3 linked regions of the Schizosaccharomyces pombe genome follow. The gene in region 2 interacts genetically with the main gene of each other region. Each region holds a gene or a part of one and is shown on either strand. Other genes may lie near its edges.

Region 1 (5,989 bases), on a different chromosome or scaffold from region 2:
TCCGGGGGTTGGGCAACCTATCGTGTAATTAGCAAATGTAAGTAGCGTATATGTAAAATTAACAAACCTCCACATCCTTTTTTAAGTCACCGGTTGCATTAGATACTGTAGATGTTGTAGCCTGTCCAAAAAGTGACATTCTAATAGTTGTGGTAGTTGGTAAATTACTCGTATGCAGACAAAATTACTTGCTTCAACACACTACCACAAATGCTTTTGCCAACATTTGTACTTCAATCACTTACAGCGAATAAGCTTTGCTATTAGGAATACCCAATTGTTATTAATTAACAGTTGGAAACAAAATATTAGTATTTAATTACGGTCACAACATATCACAGGATTTACGCTCCCGAAGTACTCTTTTCTTAATACAATTGAATATAAAGTATGGATTTATGAAATTCATTAGAAAATGGAAGAATTTACCCTAGATAGAAACAGTAATGTTGGGAATTTAATAGCTCTTGCAGTCCTTAACAAATTTGATGAACTAGCCCGTCATGGCAAACCGATCATAAGAGCAAATGGGGTGCGTGAATGGACTACTTTAGCCGGTGTTGTCATTCAGAAAAAGATGGAGAACGAATTTATTTGTGTTTGTCTAGCGTACGTCTTTTTTATTAATATCGGTAAACTGACATCTAAAGAACAGGTGTAAAATGGTATGCTACCAATTGATTTTTTTCATTAACAAGTCAATTTAGTACGCCAGCTGGCATCATTAAGAATGAACAACTGGGTAGTGTATTACATGATTGTCATGCTGAGATTCTGGCATTAAGATGTTTTAACAGGTAATATATACAATTATTTGTATATTTGTTAGTATTCGTTACTAATAAAAGAATTAAGATTACTTCTCGAACATTGTATTTTAATTAAAGAATCAAAGAAAGATACGTGGCTTCTTGAAGTTGCTGATAATGGTAAATTTACTCTAAACAGCAATCTTCTGATACATCTGTACGTTTCCGAATGTCCTTGCGGAGATGCGAGTATGGAGCTACTAGCTAGCCGCTTGGAAAACAACAAACCATGGAACTTAACAGTTGATTCAGAGAAATTAATGCGTGGGAGGGCGGATTTTGGACTACTTGGAATCGTGCGTACTAAACCGGGGAGACCTGATGCCCCAGTAAGCTGGAGCAAAAGCTGTACTGATAAATTAGCTGCAAAACAATATCTTTCTATTTTGAATTCCCAGACCAGCCTCATTTGTGAGCCCATCTATTTATCATGTGTAGTGCTTTATAAAAAAGTGATAGTTAAATCAGCAATTGACAGAGCATTTGGACCCTTTGGTCGGTGCGCACCACTTGCTGAATTTGGAGAAAAGGATAATCCTTATTACTTTCATCCTTTTACCGTGCTGGAAACGGATGAAAATTTTTTATATTCACGGCCGTTGAACCAAGCAGAAAAAACTGCAACTAGTACAAACGTTTTGATATGGATCGGTGATAAAATGCAGTGTACTCAAGTGATACATAATGGTATTAAAGCGGGAACAAAAGCTAAAGACGTTGAAAAGTCTCAAACATTAATATGTAGAAAGAGTATGATGAATTTGCTGCATCAATTAAGTCAATCGTTGACTAATGAAAAAAACTATTATGAATGGAAGAAACTCAACATCAAACGTTGCCAGCAAAAGCAAATTCTTCGTAATATCTTAAAAAACTGGATCCCAAACGGAGGGAACGAATTTCAATGGATATAAGAAATCTAGAAACCTCAATATAAGATGTACGTATGAATTAAGGCATTAAATAAAACGAAGGATGGCTTTACCAGCGATAATAATTTTATTAACGACTGACTTGTTACATAACAAGTAAGAAATAAAAGAACGTGTTGCGAGGAATTAAAAGTTATTTTTTGCATTTCAAAATAATTCACATATAGAAATCTGTCAGAAAGGAAATGAACGACAACTAGAGTAATTAAAGTATTATAAAAATCATCTCATAACATTATTCCATAACTCGGTTTAAAATGTAAAAAGAAGGATCATCGAATTAAACCATAGTCTGAAAATTGCTTGCTGTGACTTGCAATACGCCTTACTTCGGAAGATGATGGATGAATGTTTTCTGGAGTGTTGGATATGGATACTGGAGTAGGCGGGCCAGTATAGTAATTTGAATTTGGTTTCTGAGCGCTTAAATGCTTTAACGGTGTAGAATTGCTTTTAGAAAGTGATTTTGGCCGAATGCGTCTAGGCGTTTTATGTTGTAAAAGAGATACGCTACGTGTCAATTTACCATGACGAACCCACAGATAATGAGAGGAGGAGCGTGATAGCGTACGAGAAGGGGTGCGTAAAGGAGAGGTATAAGGATCATACATATGTGTTAGATCATCAGAACCGATCGGTCTTGGCGTTGTCAAACCATTCTGATCATATATCGACTTCGTGGGAGATCCCATGGAAAGCCTGCGATTCCCTGAAAGATGTAAGGACGGAGGCTTTCCAGAAGAAAGCGATCTCTGGTTCCATATGGAGGTAACAGGTTCAGAGTTTGGACAATTGTGAAGCTTCGTTTTAGCGACAATGGGAAGATCTTGCAGAGGGGAAAATGTTTGATTAACTTGTACTTTATACATAGCCAATTCAAGACGTAAGCGTAAGTTTTTAGCACAACACTGAATGTCGTCTAAGTGATTATTGTTGGTATTGGTTTGTACTGGTGTCTTGGGTTCTAAATGTGTTTCTTTTTCCTGTTTCTCTCCTATCTCAGTAGAAGATTCTTTTTCCTCTTCACTCTCCGTACTACTAACAGATTTTATTTTTAAGACTGGCTCTTCACATGCATTTTCATCTGCAATTTCTACTGCACGCACATTTCGAGATCGAACCGCAATCGGTGAAATCGTCCCTGGAGCCGCATTCTCTTTTCCTAATGGTCTCTGCATCGGTGTTATAGGAAATAAATGTTGCACATTTTTTCCTTTTCCATACTCATACACTTCGTTTGTTGGCCTTTCCCCCAAAGTGTTTAAACGAGATGGGGTCAATGGTTCCATTGACCTATCCATCTTGTTATTTTTTCTAAACGGAAACCAATATAAAGATTCCTAGTAGCAGAGAATCAGAAGGAAAAGTAATAATCAGAGACAGTTTTTTTGCGACTCGTCGATTGTTGCGTACTTGTGGCACGTATATAAGCGGTGTCCAACGCAACGCGACGCGACGCCCTTTAAAGCGCGAATTCGCGATATAGCGCGTTTTATCAGTTTGCTCATATCCTCGAGTTTATTAATTATATTAACTTTCAAATTTTTTAAATAGCTATCAAAAATGATGCTATAAAAAGTAAACCGCAATTTGCATTATGAAGAGTGATTTACCTGTTATGTTACCGATACACAAACTCGTTCATAACTTTCCTATAGTCATTTTACAAGGTTAAGAAGGCTTTATTCAACGTCCGTTTCAATATCCCTGCAAACGACATTTGAAAATGACAAAATCAATTGGAATAATAAATGGAGTATTTGTGAATTGCACAGGCAGACCTACCGTACACTGAAATATGCTTTTGTTATGTACACAATTACTAAGGCTGATATTTACAGATTAAAAATAAGATACGTTATATCAAGATAACAGTCGGTAGACGATTTAAACGCGCATCTTCTTAATATTAGTTGTGAATAGATACGAGAATGAAATTTTTTTTACACACTAGTATTCGACCATTTTGAAAAATATTTAGTCAATTCATCGCAAAATGTGGATCAAAAAAGGGAATGCAACCACAGAATACACCTTAGACCGCTTTAATGATAAGAATCACTGAATAACCTAGAAACCCGAATGATGCTCAATGGAAAATAAACAAAAAGGGATCTGTAAGATAACACACACCTTTCCACATACGCTTGACAACGAAATTTCATCCAAGACCAATCAAACGCTCCACATCAATAGGCTACTCTCAAGTCACCAGTTCATCTATGCAAGAGCGGGAAAGTCAGTCTCAGAAAGGGTGGGAGGTGCCTGTTGGGTTTTTGAGGCAGTTTCTGAAGGACCACGACGGGGAGCACGGTTAGGACGGCCACCGCGAGCAGGACGAGCAGTAAAAGTTTGCTCGATATCAAGAAGAACCTTCTTTGGCTTGCTTTCCTTGGCAGCAGACTTCTTTTGAGAAGCGCTCTTCTTAAGAGAGGCAAACAATTCTTCGGGGGCACTCTTCTCGACCTTAGTAGCGTTTTCAAGTTTCTCAACAGTACGACCAACAGGCTTTGCGGCGGACTTGCGTTCAGACAGATATTCATCAAGAGTCTTAACATTTTCCTCCTCGGCAGCAGGAGTTTGGGCTCCAGAGGGAGTGTTACCTTCGTTCTCTGCAACATCAGGGTTAGCAGCAGAGTTTACGAGATCACCCCAGCCACGTTCAGTAGCCTTCTTGGTATCACTAAAATAATGGTTAGCAATTATATAATTTGGCATTCACATGTAGAAAAATAAAACACATACACTCTACCAGTTTGGCTATGGCGGTCAAATTCACGACCACGGCGAGCACGAGCATTGCGGCGGTTGGAGGGGGCGCCAGTGGCATCCACAGGATGGGCAGCGTTGTTAGCACGAGCTTCTTTGCCTTCACGAGCAAAGGCTTCGTTTCCTTGAGGAGCTTGACGGCGTCTGCGAGGTTGGTCTGCCTTCTTATTAACGGTACGCTCACGAGGAGTGGGTTGGTTAGGGTCACGCTTCCTAGAGGTGGTGCTTTGAGCGACTAATTCGCGGGGGACAGGAGGGCTGTCGGAGCGCTTTTTGTCACGAGAAGCAGCGGTTTTCTTCTCGGTAGTAGTAGCTGCGGGAGTCTCCTCTCCGAGGAGGTCAAAGAGGTTCTATAATTTGGTTACTACTTGCGAAAACAAAATAAAAATCAGCAGAGTCTGCAGAGCTAACACTCTAAAGAATAATGAACGAAATGTGAATTTATATTTTTTAATACTTGAGCGTCTTTATACAGGCTATACTTCTATAAAGTATTTCATTCGGGTCGCAGTAATGAAACCTTAAACACAGCCCTAAAACATGCTACAAATAATTACCAGTTCGTTCATTTCCTAACCCTTAAAATAATCGTTTAATGATAAAATGTTTAAATCATACCTTGGATGCAACAGACATTTGGAAGCTGGAAAGTTAATTGTGTGTGTTCAGTTACACAACTACAGTCATCCAAAAAGCAGTCACTCAAACTTAGGGTAGGTTGAAACAAATGATGTGCTTTGTCCATCATCTTACGGTAATACCTAAGGCTATCTTAAAATTACAGTTATTCAACACAATGCCTGTCTTTTTTCTATGATATCGGAAGCACTTGGCTTACAATTGTCAATATTCGTTTTATCGAATCATTCATTTCTTTAGCATTAAAATAAGTTTTATTAAGAAATATACTACTGGTAAAAAAAAGCTAGGCAGTCTAAGTAAGAATTAATTACATTATATTTTGAAACAAATAATAAATTAATTCATTCAATGTAAAAAGACTGGTACTAAAATCGTTATAAACTAAATCCAACCAAGTAATAACTTGAGACGATTAACATTAAGCATCAATATCGATTGGGTCATCAGAGGAACCTTTTCCCATTGTTCCATTTGTTTTGCGAGAGGCACGTAGAGATGTACCGGCACCTTCAAACTTAAATAAATTGGGGTCTTTCTTAGAATCTTCTTCAATAGAGGGTGCTTTATAAGGATACCCAAAGAAGTATGTACCCAATGGTAGGATCAACGGAGCAGGACATTCTTGTTTCTCAACATCGAGCAAATTTATTTTAGGCACTTCAGCAACTTCTTTACCATTTAGTTTAGTCCCTGTTCCCTTCATCAAATTCGAATCGCCCTGCCTCACCAGCTCATCGTAACCAATCTTGGTAACCATCGTTCCTTGAACGCCAGCAATATTTTGCTGCTTGTTTTTTTGCAAACTTTCTTCATAACCGATGGGGGGATCAAAATCAA
Region 2 (4,629 bases):
GTAGTTTGTAATTTGTTTTGGCTTAACGAGTACATACATTTTTATTTGGCATGTTTTGGAGTGAAACCTATGAAAGATAACGATAGTATTAAGATATATATAAGTAGTTTTCATCATCATTTATATTTGGATGCAATTCATGTATCCATCTTTTAGCAGAAATTTGTCGTAATCATCACGCTGATGCTAAAAACGTTGAGTTGCACAGAAAACAAGTATAGAAGAATCGCGGTCCCCGATTGCCTTGCAGAACAGGTGAAAAATCAATCCTTGGGAAATTTCGCCATTTTGCAAATAACTGATAAGTCAGCAGTTCGATACAGTGCTGCTCCATGCATAAGGGACAGCAAACGTAATTGCTTCTTTGACCAGGTAAACCATTATTTTGTACTAACGACATATACACCAATTTTGAATCGTGGTTGCATCTTTGAGATGGCAAACCGTTATTATGTGCTAACGAATTGTTTAGCAATTTAATCATTTGGTTGCTTTTACTGGTACTTTTTTGATTTGAAGATAGCAATAAACGTTCAAAGAGAGCCGCTATGACGGCTTCTTTATAATTGGGAATTATTTTATCCTCGTTTTCAAATATTCCTCCTAGAAGATTTGCTAAGACGTTGAGACATAAAAGTTTATCTTTTTCTTCGATAAAGCTAGGAAATTCCGACATTATTAGCATCTCCAATTTAAAGATTTGGAAAACGACATTTTCGTCACCAATTTTGTTGAAATCCATTGCTCTTTTTATTCACGTTTCACAAAATATACACGCTTAATATTGGCTTTTTCTTTTTTCTGTTTTGATATTTTGTAATATGCAATTTCACTAAAATACGAAAACACAACTGTTCACAAAATCATTAATATGTTTGGAGAAAAAGGGAGTGTAAACATAAACAATACCCATGGTGTTTACATTTTGGACTCCGGTGAATGTAAACATAGTAACAAGCGTACAGTGATGGCTTCTATAAACACCAAATCAGCAAATAAGAAAGGACTTGGGGTTAGAAATATATAAAAAATACAACAGTTTATCATTAAAGATTATCAAAGAATGAAGAGAAATATTCAAATAATCGCAAAAAGTTTCTCCCTGATAAAAAATACAATCATTCGTCGTTACCACGAATCTCTTTTCCAAATCAGTATTTCAAAAAAAAGTTGGAAAAAAAAGAAAAAAAAATTAAACACTTATTAATCGAACTCGTGTTGTCATTGTTTAATCACAAACCAGCTGGTAATTGCCTTAATTCCACTTTCAAATCACACATTCGCTTAATTGTCTTTCAAAATTTTTGCTTTGATAATCTTATGACTTTAAGTCAAAAAAAAAGAATAAATGGTAGTAAATAATGTGAAGAGAAAACGGAACCTTGAAAAAGTTTTGCAAATGGCAAGGAGGAGGAAAATATATTGTGGACAAACTATTAGTTTCTAATCCAACCTTTAATATTGAGACACAAAGTTTAAGCATTGCCTCATTGATCTGATGCCTGCATCAGAAAGCTCTTTTTAAGCATTAGAGGATCTATTAACAACGGTGAATCCTCCCATACGAATTGGCTCTTGATTTTTTGGAGGTAAAATAGGCGAAGTGGTGGGTTCAGAAACAGGTTCTTCATCTACTTCCTTCTGCCCTTTTTCTATCTCATCTATCTGATTTTTATCACTAACAGTGTCTTGTTCTTGATCTTTATCCTTTTGCTTTTCTTTAGCTTTCTCTTTCTCTAGTTTTGCTGAATTTTGCGCACTTCGTCGACGTCTTGCTTCTCTGGCCTTCTCACGCGCTGCAAGCAATCCTTCATGATAAGGTTTCTTCTCTTCTTCGGTCAAATTATTCCATGTATCTTCAAGAGTTTTCTTCAAAGCTTGTCCCTTCAAGGTAGAGCCTTCGGCCTTTAATTTTGGTTTTTGAATAGACGAAAAATGGTTGAATAACATTGTGTCTGTAATTTTGGCATTAGAAGTAGCTTTTTTAGCTCCAGATGATTTTGAGCTTTCTGTTTTAAGATTTGTAATAATAGGAGAAGGTATTGGATCAGTATTCGTAATTTTTTCATCTTTTGATTGAACAACTTGATTTTGCTGCTCAAAGTCTGCATCTGTGTCATTGACGGATGCATCTTTAGGCTGGGAATTATTTGATGATTTATGAGATATTTCCGACGTGTTGTTTAATGCTACGTTTGTATCAGATGTTTCTTCTGTAGATATCTTTAACTTCTTGGCAGACGGGTTTCCAGCGCCTTTCGTTGATATTTTGATTTTAATACCTTCGGGAGGAGGCTACATATGATTAGTACAAGTATTACAATAAATTCACTCTATAAAAACACTTACAGGAGGAGATGGCTCAGAGCGCTGTCCAAATTCGCGAGATTTTGCTTCACTTTGCAATTCCAACTGTTCCATTAAGATAGCTCTTTCTAATCGGCCACGCTTGACAGCTCTTCGAATAACCTCATATTTGCTTAATAACTCCTGATTTCCTTTTTGGATCTCCTGAATTCTAGCCTTTAAATCCTTGCACTTTTGGCGATATTTAATTTCTGAGTATTCATTAGTAAATGAAAAAATCAATCAAGCTTCAAAATATTCACCTTCCGATTTGGAAATAGATACATGGTATGGAGGGTTTTCCATGGATATAGATGCTCTGCCTTTGATCTTGTTCGCACAATGTAGTAAGTACTGTCGCGAATTAAGAGCACTGACTGGAGGTCTAAAATAGCGAATTTATACAAGTCTTAACGCTACGACATGCTTTCGATTTTTTGAATACAAATAGAAATCTGGAAAAAGTTATTAAAATGACTCTCCATTGGGATTAGAACTTTAAAAAAACTATATGTGAAAGTATCAACTCTGGTAGTAATACGCACTGATTGATTCAAGCGCAATTGCATCATGAATATAAAAATTATAAATTAAGTATGATAAAATTAAATAACAGAGATATTAATGAAAGAATGACTAATAGCAAAAAGATCGGTTTGTCCACGCAAAGAAATTAAAAAGAAAAATGCGAACTTAAATTAACAAACCATAACCATTTTATCCTTCAACGAATGCCATAGCCTCCTCCTTAGAAATCGACTCAACTGTTGAAACTTTGTGATTAAACATTACTCCGTAAAAATTGTCCGCAACTTTCACCATCTCAGGCCGAAAAGTAGTGCAAATAAATTGACTAGTTTTTGACATCTCTTTGACCATCGCTGCAATGGCCGAGCGATATTGTGCATCTAAATTAGCATCACATTCATCGAGTATATTAAAAGGCGCAGGATCACAGCGTTGGATAGCAAAAATTAAAGTTAAAGCACAAAGTGACTTCTGACCGCCACTCAATTGATTAATATTCAGTTGTTCATCATCCTTACTGTTAAAAGAAACTCTTATGCTGATACCTGTATAATTGTCGATCGAGCTTTTCTGGGATGGCGTATCAATGTCCATGGAGATGTCTTGTTCGATGCTTTGACTCAATTCACTTCTTCTATTCATAACCAATTCACCTCTACCTGCCGGAACAAGTTTAACGAATATTTCAGAAAAGCTTTTAGCAACTTGTTTAAAGGTACGCTCAATTGCTTCATCTTTTCTTTGGTCAAGTACTGTCGTAAGCTCACTAATTGACTCCTGAGAACGACGCAACTCTTCTCTCCTAGCCAACAATGAATCGCGTTGTTTAGTAAAATTATTAAATTGCTCATATGCTTTCTTATTAACGCTTCCATAATCTTTAAGGGCTTCGTTGATTTTATGAAGTTTCTTCACAATAGCATTTGAGCTAGTTGAAACATATTTAATAAATGCTTCTTCCGGCAAAACCCCCAATGATTTAATTTTCTCGTTACATTCTTTTTTCCGTGCGAGAAGCAAACTTCTCTTTGCTGCGTTTCTTTCGTTAATTTTTGCATCTTGTTCAATTCGGGTAGCCACTTCGTGCTGCAATTCTTCTAGCGATTCCAATTCATTTCGTTTATCGCTTATTTCAGAATTGATTCTTTGCATTTGTTCCTCCAACCCAGAAGATGAAGATTTAATAATTTGCAATTTGTTTTCATACTTAAGTAGAGATCTCTTTACGCTGTTCAATTCTGATTCGTCTATTCTGTTATCAGAACCAATTTCAGCTTTCAATGGATTCCTTCTTAAATATAAGTTTGTATTTAATTCATATTCAAGAGCCGTCTTTCTTGCTTCTATATGTGCTCGTTCTTTAATGATGGCATCAAACTCATGAGAGAGATTTTCAATTTGACCACTCAAAGACTTTAGTGCTTCCACATCTTTGGGATCAAGTTCATCCATTTCTGAACTTAATTCAGATTTCAAGTCATTAGCTTGTTGTTCAAGTGTATGTAGTTCCAAAACAACAAGCTCAAGCATACGACTTTTATGATGCATTGATTCTTGAAGATCTGTTGTTTCTCCAGTAATAGTTACGAGTTCATCTTTAAGAGGAATATGATCTCTTTCAAATTGCTTTAAACTTAGTTGAGCCTTTTGCAAATCATCTAAGCATGCAGTAATTTTTTGGTCAAAAGATTCAATTTCGGAACGACATTTCTCCAAACTTTCTTGTAAATCCGAGAATTTGATCTGGTATGTTTT
Region 3 (5,045 bases), 680 kb from region 2:
ACCAATTTATTTTCGTCGTTTTGGAGTTGTAAGGTGTCTTTTCCTCACCTGGGTTATTTCGCCATAGGCGCTGCGTTTCGCTATGCTAATCACAACTTCCAATCCAGTTACTTGATTTCTATCTTTACCCAGCACGACTTGTTCAATAGTACAAGTTATGAACGTTATTGATGATTGACTATTCTTTTCCACATAACGTTTTAGCCTTCATAGAGGAAAAATACTTATACACGTAAATTTTTTAATCGTTTGTGTTTACAATTAAAAGTGAATACACATTATAGCTTTAAATGTTCTTTTGATCGTGTTTATTGCATTGAGCCTGACAGTAACTTAAGATTATTGAAAAAATCATCCGAATAATTCTTATTGCTCAATACTGACTCAGAAGCGACTTCTGCACGATCTAGCTTTCAAAATATTGTCGCATAGTTTGACGTATTTGTATAAAAATATTTGAAAACATTAAATTACATACACAAGTAATATCTATTATGTGATTGGGAATTATAATTTCTTATACTTATTGTTTATGCAATTGGGGGAAGTACGAACTCACCAACGGGTCATTAATATATGTTAGAACTTTATCCTCATCACAATAAGAAGAAGCAACTAATTAAAGGATTTCATATCCAGCTATATTACAAAAGTAACTATATTAAAATACAATGCTATTCATCTTTAACTTCTTCATAAAAGGTGGGTAGCACAGCAAGCACAGTGTCTAATATAGTCAGTCCATTATCCAAAAAAGTGAACGATCCCTCTAAGTGAGTGCCATCAACAGTGTTGTTCAGTAAATCAGATTCCAAAATTACTTCTAGTCTTTCCTTATTTGTATCTTGAGAATATTTAGATCCGGGTGGATCCCAAACGATAAACACTGCTTTGCATAAAGATTGGTTTGAAAAATTCAATAGCGTTTTAGAAACTAACTTGACTGTTAAGTACTCTTGTTCAACGACTTTCCCAGTCAAATATCGTGGACCAAGAGTTCTCTGGATGTAGTCGCGCGCTTGCTGTGTAGAAAATCTACTAATTCCATCAGGCTCAAATAGTTCATCATTTGGCATGAATTTGGTATTATTGGATTCAATGAAATTGACTGAACTATCACTTGTCCTATCACTTTGCGATTTGTCCCATAAGCCTTTATAATTGTCAACATGTATACTAGCCAATGCCCGCTGCAATCTACCGGGAAGTTTAGTTGATAGCCTCTTATTAGAAATTAATTCAGTTTCTGCTTGCTCTGCTAATAAACATGCGTCACGAATATTATCTTCGAATTCTGGTGCAACATTGTTATGCAAAACACTTAGCAGAAAATTTCTAACAATTTGACAAGCTATTTGCAAATCCTCTTCCTTAGTTAGTCCAGCGTTATACAAAATGTGTGACGACCTTAAATTGATTAGCTAAAATACAACGTGAATTAAATTCAATGGAAACATAAATGACTCACAGAAATACTCCAGCAACCCACTTAAAATCAATATCATATTCATCAAGTATATCGTATTCAATATAATCAGTCGTGGTTTGAGCGGAAACTTCTCGTGCCTTCGCATCGTTATTAATATCAGTACCCCCTGTAAACTGTTTTTGGCCCGTAGAAACGCCTCCTAAATCTAGATACATTGTAAACAGTCTTATTCTTGTAGGGTCGCTCCATTTTCTGCGTGATCGATATCTTTGAATAAATCGCTCCATTCGCCTAATTTGTCAGCAAAGTCCTTAACATCTGTTTACTAACACAGTCAATGGTATGTTCCTAGAAGTGTTAGTAAGACACAATATTTTGTATTCTCACCTGCTGTATAATGTCTCATTTTCCAATTTCTCTTCAGCTGTCAGTTCGGGTTCTTGAAAATAAGGCTCCCATCCAGACAATCCCTAATATTTATTAGACGGGTTTTCTAAAGCTTAAGAAATACCCTCTTTTTTCTTCTATTACCGAGACTTTTTCCTGTACGTTTTTTAAAAGTAGTAAATTCCACGCTATCGCCAATACAACCTGTACTGTCATTTTTAAAATCACCTTCTGCCATCACTCAATCACTTCATCTGGACTGGAAAGTCAGTACACTAGTCGTATAGTTGATTTACTAGTTTATCAGTGTGGTAAGGGGAATCTAAGGAACCAAATTTACAGTGTTGTATTAGAAGCTTTGTTCATAGAGTTAAGTAGACAGTTCCTTTGCCGGATTTAGTAACGCTGGATATATTATTCTACAACCGTTTTTTGAATATGCCAGAACTCATCACTACTGTTACAATTGAATTTAGCTATATTATAATTTGATATACAAAAATATTTTTTTTTAATTTGCTTAAAATAATCGCAACCAAAGTGTAAGTAAACATGCTTGTATTAATTTAAAAGTTGAAATAGAAGCGTATTTGTAATGTAGAATCAATGATACCTTCTATTGATGCTTACCTAATTTAATAGACGAGACATTACAAGTTGAAGATATAAGACAATATGACAATGGCTCGACTACATTCTTCATTTATGATTACGGGTAAGACCACAATCAAAGTTCAACAAAAAATCATTAATTTAAAGTGCCGTATGGAAAAGCCCAAAAAGGAACACAAAACGGTCTTCATTTACTAGCTATTAGAAAGTGATCAACGATGATTGTGAGTAACATGGATTGATTAGATGAACAAGAACAAAACTAAATAAGATTCTATTTTATATTAAAACCTATCTAAAGCTATGTCAAAAGCTTCTATGGAACGTATAAAGGAAAGGTGAATACATGAACTAAACCGTAGAACAACGCCAACCATCACTGCTTTGAAATTGTAAAACCAACGGGCCCATATTTATTATCTTTATAAAGTCAATAAAACCAAACCAAACCCAAATTCATTCCATAACAAACCCAAACAAGTCATTTGTATTTGAATACTTCAACCCAATTAAATCAAATCCACAGCCCAACATTTATTAAAACCCTTTATGCCAAAAAGTTTCCCAAAAACCCAAACTCATATATTAATTTGCTAAGGTATTTACATTTAACCCATAAAAATGAACTCAATATAGTTAAAAGCCAGTATACTTAGTCAAAAGTGACTTTGTTCCCAGAAAATGGAGCAACCGAGCCACGGTTGGGGTTTCCAGAGCGAGCACCACCTCTACCGCGACCACGTCCGCCACCAAATCCACCACGGCCACCGAATCCACCACGACCGCCAAATCCACCGCGACCACCACGGCTACCTCCACCAGTACGAGGAGTTGAAAAGTCCAAACGACATGGGCGACCAGCAATAAAATGACCGTTCATTTCCACACATTTCTTGGCAGAGTCAATATCAGAGAAAGTAACATAACCGAAACCCTTAAGACGTCCTGACTGAGGATCTGTGGGCAAACGAATGGATTGAATGTCACCGCAACCGCCAAAAGCCGTACTGAGATCATCTTCAGTTGCGTTAAAAGACAAATTTCCAACAAATACGGTATCACTAGGTTCAGATAATTGGTCTCCAAAATTACCCGCACGTTGTTGAGCATATGGTTGAGGGTTGGCTGGGCGAGGATTAGAGAGATCTAAGTTGACCATACGACCATCAATTTCCTTGGTACCATTAGCGGCAACAGCAGCCTTAGCAGCCTCAGGGGTCTCAAAATCAACGTAGCCGTAACCCTTTGAGCGACCGCTTTGGCCATCCATAATAACACGTGCACCAACAATTGTACCGTACTCTTCAAATTCCTGCCCTAACCACTGATCATCTACGTTCCAAGAAAGACGACCGACGAAAACAGTGCAAGTCTCGTTAGAATCTTGAGAAGGCTTGGTAATCTTAGCAGGTCTTTCTTCAGAAGCAGGCTCGGCTTTACGTTTCTTCTCGTCTTCAGAGCTGGATTCGGATTCAGAATCAGAGGAAGAGTCGCTGTCTCCAGATTCTGAGGAGGAATCTGACGAGGATTCGGAGTCAGAAGAAGACTCGCTGGAGCCTTCTTTCTTCTCTTCAGTCTTCTCGACCACCTCTTCTTCTTCCTCAGATTCAGATGAGGAAGATTCGGATTCAGATTCAGATGAGGAAGACTCGGAAGAAGAGTCACTAGAGCTCTCCTTCTTTTCTTCAATTTTTACAACAGCCTCTTCTTCCTCTTCAGACTCAGAGGAGGAAGATGATTCGCTGGAACTCTCCTTCTTCTCTTCAGTTTTCACAATCACTTCTTCTTCAGACTCAGACGAAGAGGATTCAGATGAAGATGATTCGGACTCTGAAGAACTAGATTCGGATTCTGAAGAGGAAGACTCGGATTCTGATGAGCTAGATTCAGACTCGGATTCTGAGGAGCTTTCTTCCTTCTTCTTAGATTTCTTTTGCTTTTTTACTGATTTCTTTGAAGGTTCGGGACTAGAAGCACGCTTAGCCTCCTTTTTAGATTTTTTAGGGGAGACATCGGTTTTAGAGCTTTGCTTTGCAATCTCTTTAGCAGCCTCCTTAGTAATCTTCTTGGACTTGGAAGGTTTCTCAATGGCACCCTTCTTTGATGCAGTCTCCTTCACTGATTTCTTAACGGAGGTTTTATCCTTTTTTGCCATTATATTCACAACCTATACCAAAAGCCCGTTTAAAAGAATTTGGGAGTTTTTTAGTTTGACTGCTGGTACGGCGCGACAAGCTGCTATATATAGCCAAAAAAATTTTTACCGATGATATATGTACCTGAAGCCGTATACTAGTATAGCAAATTTTCTAGACGTATTCGTTAAACTACTAATATAGAAGCTTGTTCAACTACTACTATTTTTTATAAAAGCGAGTTTAACTAATTACGCTATCAAGTAATAGCTATCTGCGCTATTCAACAACAAACCAGCAAAGTAAAATATTCGCCATTAATATTTAAAAAATGAGTGTGTCTGAAGGCTTATAACATGTCTTAAAGGTAAAAAGCATATTGAAATTTAATAAATTGTTGAATCAGTGAAACGAAGGAGTTAGGTTTAGTCTTGCGTAGTATTATCTGGAGTGGTGAATATGTAAATTCTTATGAACGATAA

Evidence for each region. Genes that interact genetically often act in the same process or in processes that back each other up.
Region 1: mutations in nht1 (region 2) and nrm1 impair growth when combined (synthetic growth defect), as found in Schizosaccharomyces pombe (one study listed by BioGRID).
Region 3: of nht1 (region 2) and arb1, changing one suppresses a phenotype caused by changing the other (phenotypic suppression), as found in Schizosaccharomyces pombe (one study listed by BioGRID).

Annotation. Positions count from the first base shown.
Region 1 is NC_003423.3:4,283,095-4,289,083, reverse strand, and holds nrm1 (protein nrm1), read right to left. Parts: upstream 3,141-5,989; 5' UTR 3,043-3,140; coding exon 2,014-3,042; 3' UTR 1,724-2,013; coding exon of another isoform or gene 856-1,723; 3' UTR 798-855; coding exon of another isoform or gene 708-797; 3' UTR 666-707; coding exon of another isoform or gene 651-665; 3' UTR 610-650; downstream 1-609. Other genes in the region: nucleoporin Rae1, read right to left, coding at 1-17, 68-139; tad1 (tRNA specific adenosine deaminase), read left to right, coding at 416-609, 651-665, 708-797, 856-1,723; oga1 (protein stm1), read right to left, coding at 3,962-4,424, 4,487-4,860, 5,129-5,146; Hrd1 ubiquitin ligase complex subunit Ufd1, read right to left, coding at 5,571-5,989. UniProt on the Schizosaccharomyces pombe protein: Negative regulatory component of the MBF complex involved in cell-cycle-dependent transcription.
Region 2 is NC_003424.3:1,218,146-1,222,774, forward strand, and holds nht1 (Ino80 complex HMG box subunit Nht1), read right to left. Parts: upstream 2,708-4,629; 5' UTR 2,653-2,707; coding exon 2,610-2,652; intron 2,559-2,609; coding exon 2,350-2,558; intron 2,296-2,349; coding exon 1,522-2,295; downstream 1-1,521. Other genes in the region: protein mug94, read right to left, coding at 176-742; psm3 (mitotic/meiotic cohesin complex ATPase subunit Psm3/Smc3), read right to left, coding at 3,064-4,629.
Region 3 is NC_003424.3:1,897,061-1,902,105, reverse strand, and holds arb1 (argonaute inhibitor protein 1), read right to left. Parts: upstream 2,141-5,045; 5' UTR 2,055-2,140; coding exon 1,941-2,054; exon of another isoform or gene 1,900-1,940; coding exon 1,817-1,899; exon of another isoform or gene 1,778-1,816; coding exon 1,760-1,777; exon of another isoform or gene 1,721-1,759; coding exon 1,469-1,720; exon of another isoform or gene 1,408-1,468; coding exon 675-1,407; 3' UTR 501-674; downstream 1-500. Other genes in the region: gar2 (nucleolin), read right to left, coding at 3,081-4,583. UniProt on the Schizosaccharomyces pombe protein: Component of the argonaute siRNA chaperone (ARC) complex which is required for histone H3K9 methylation, heterochromatin assembly and siRNA generation. The ARC complex contains mostly double-stranded siRNA.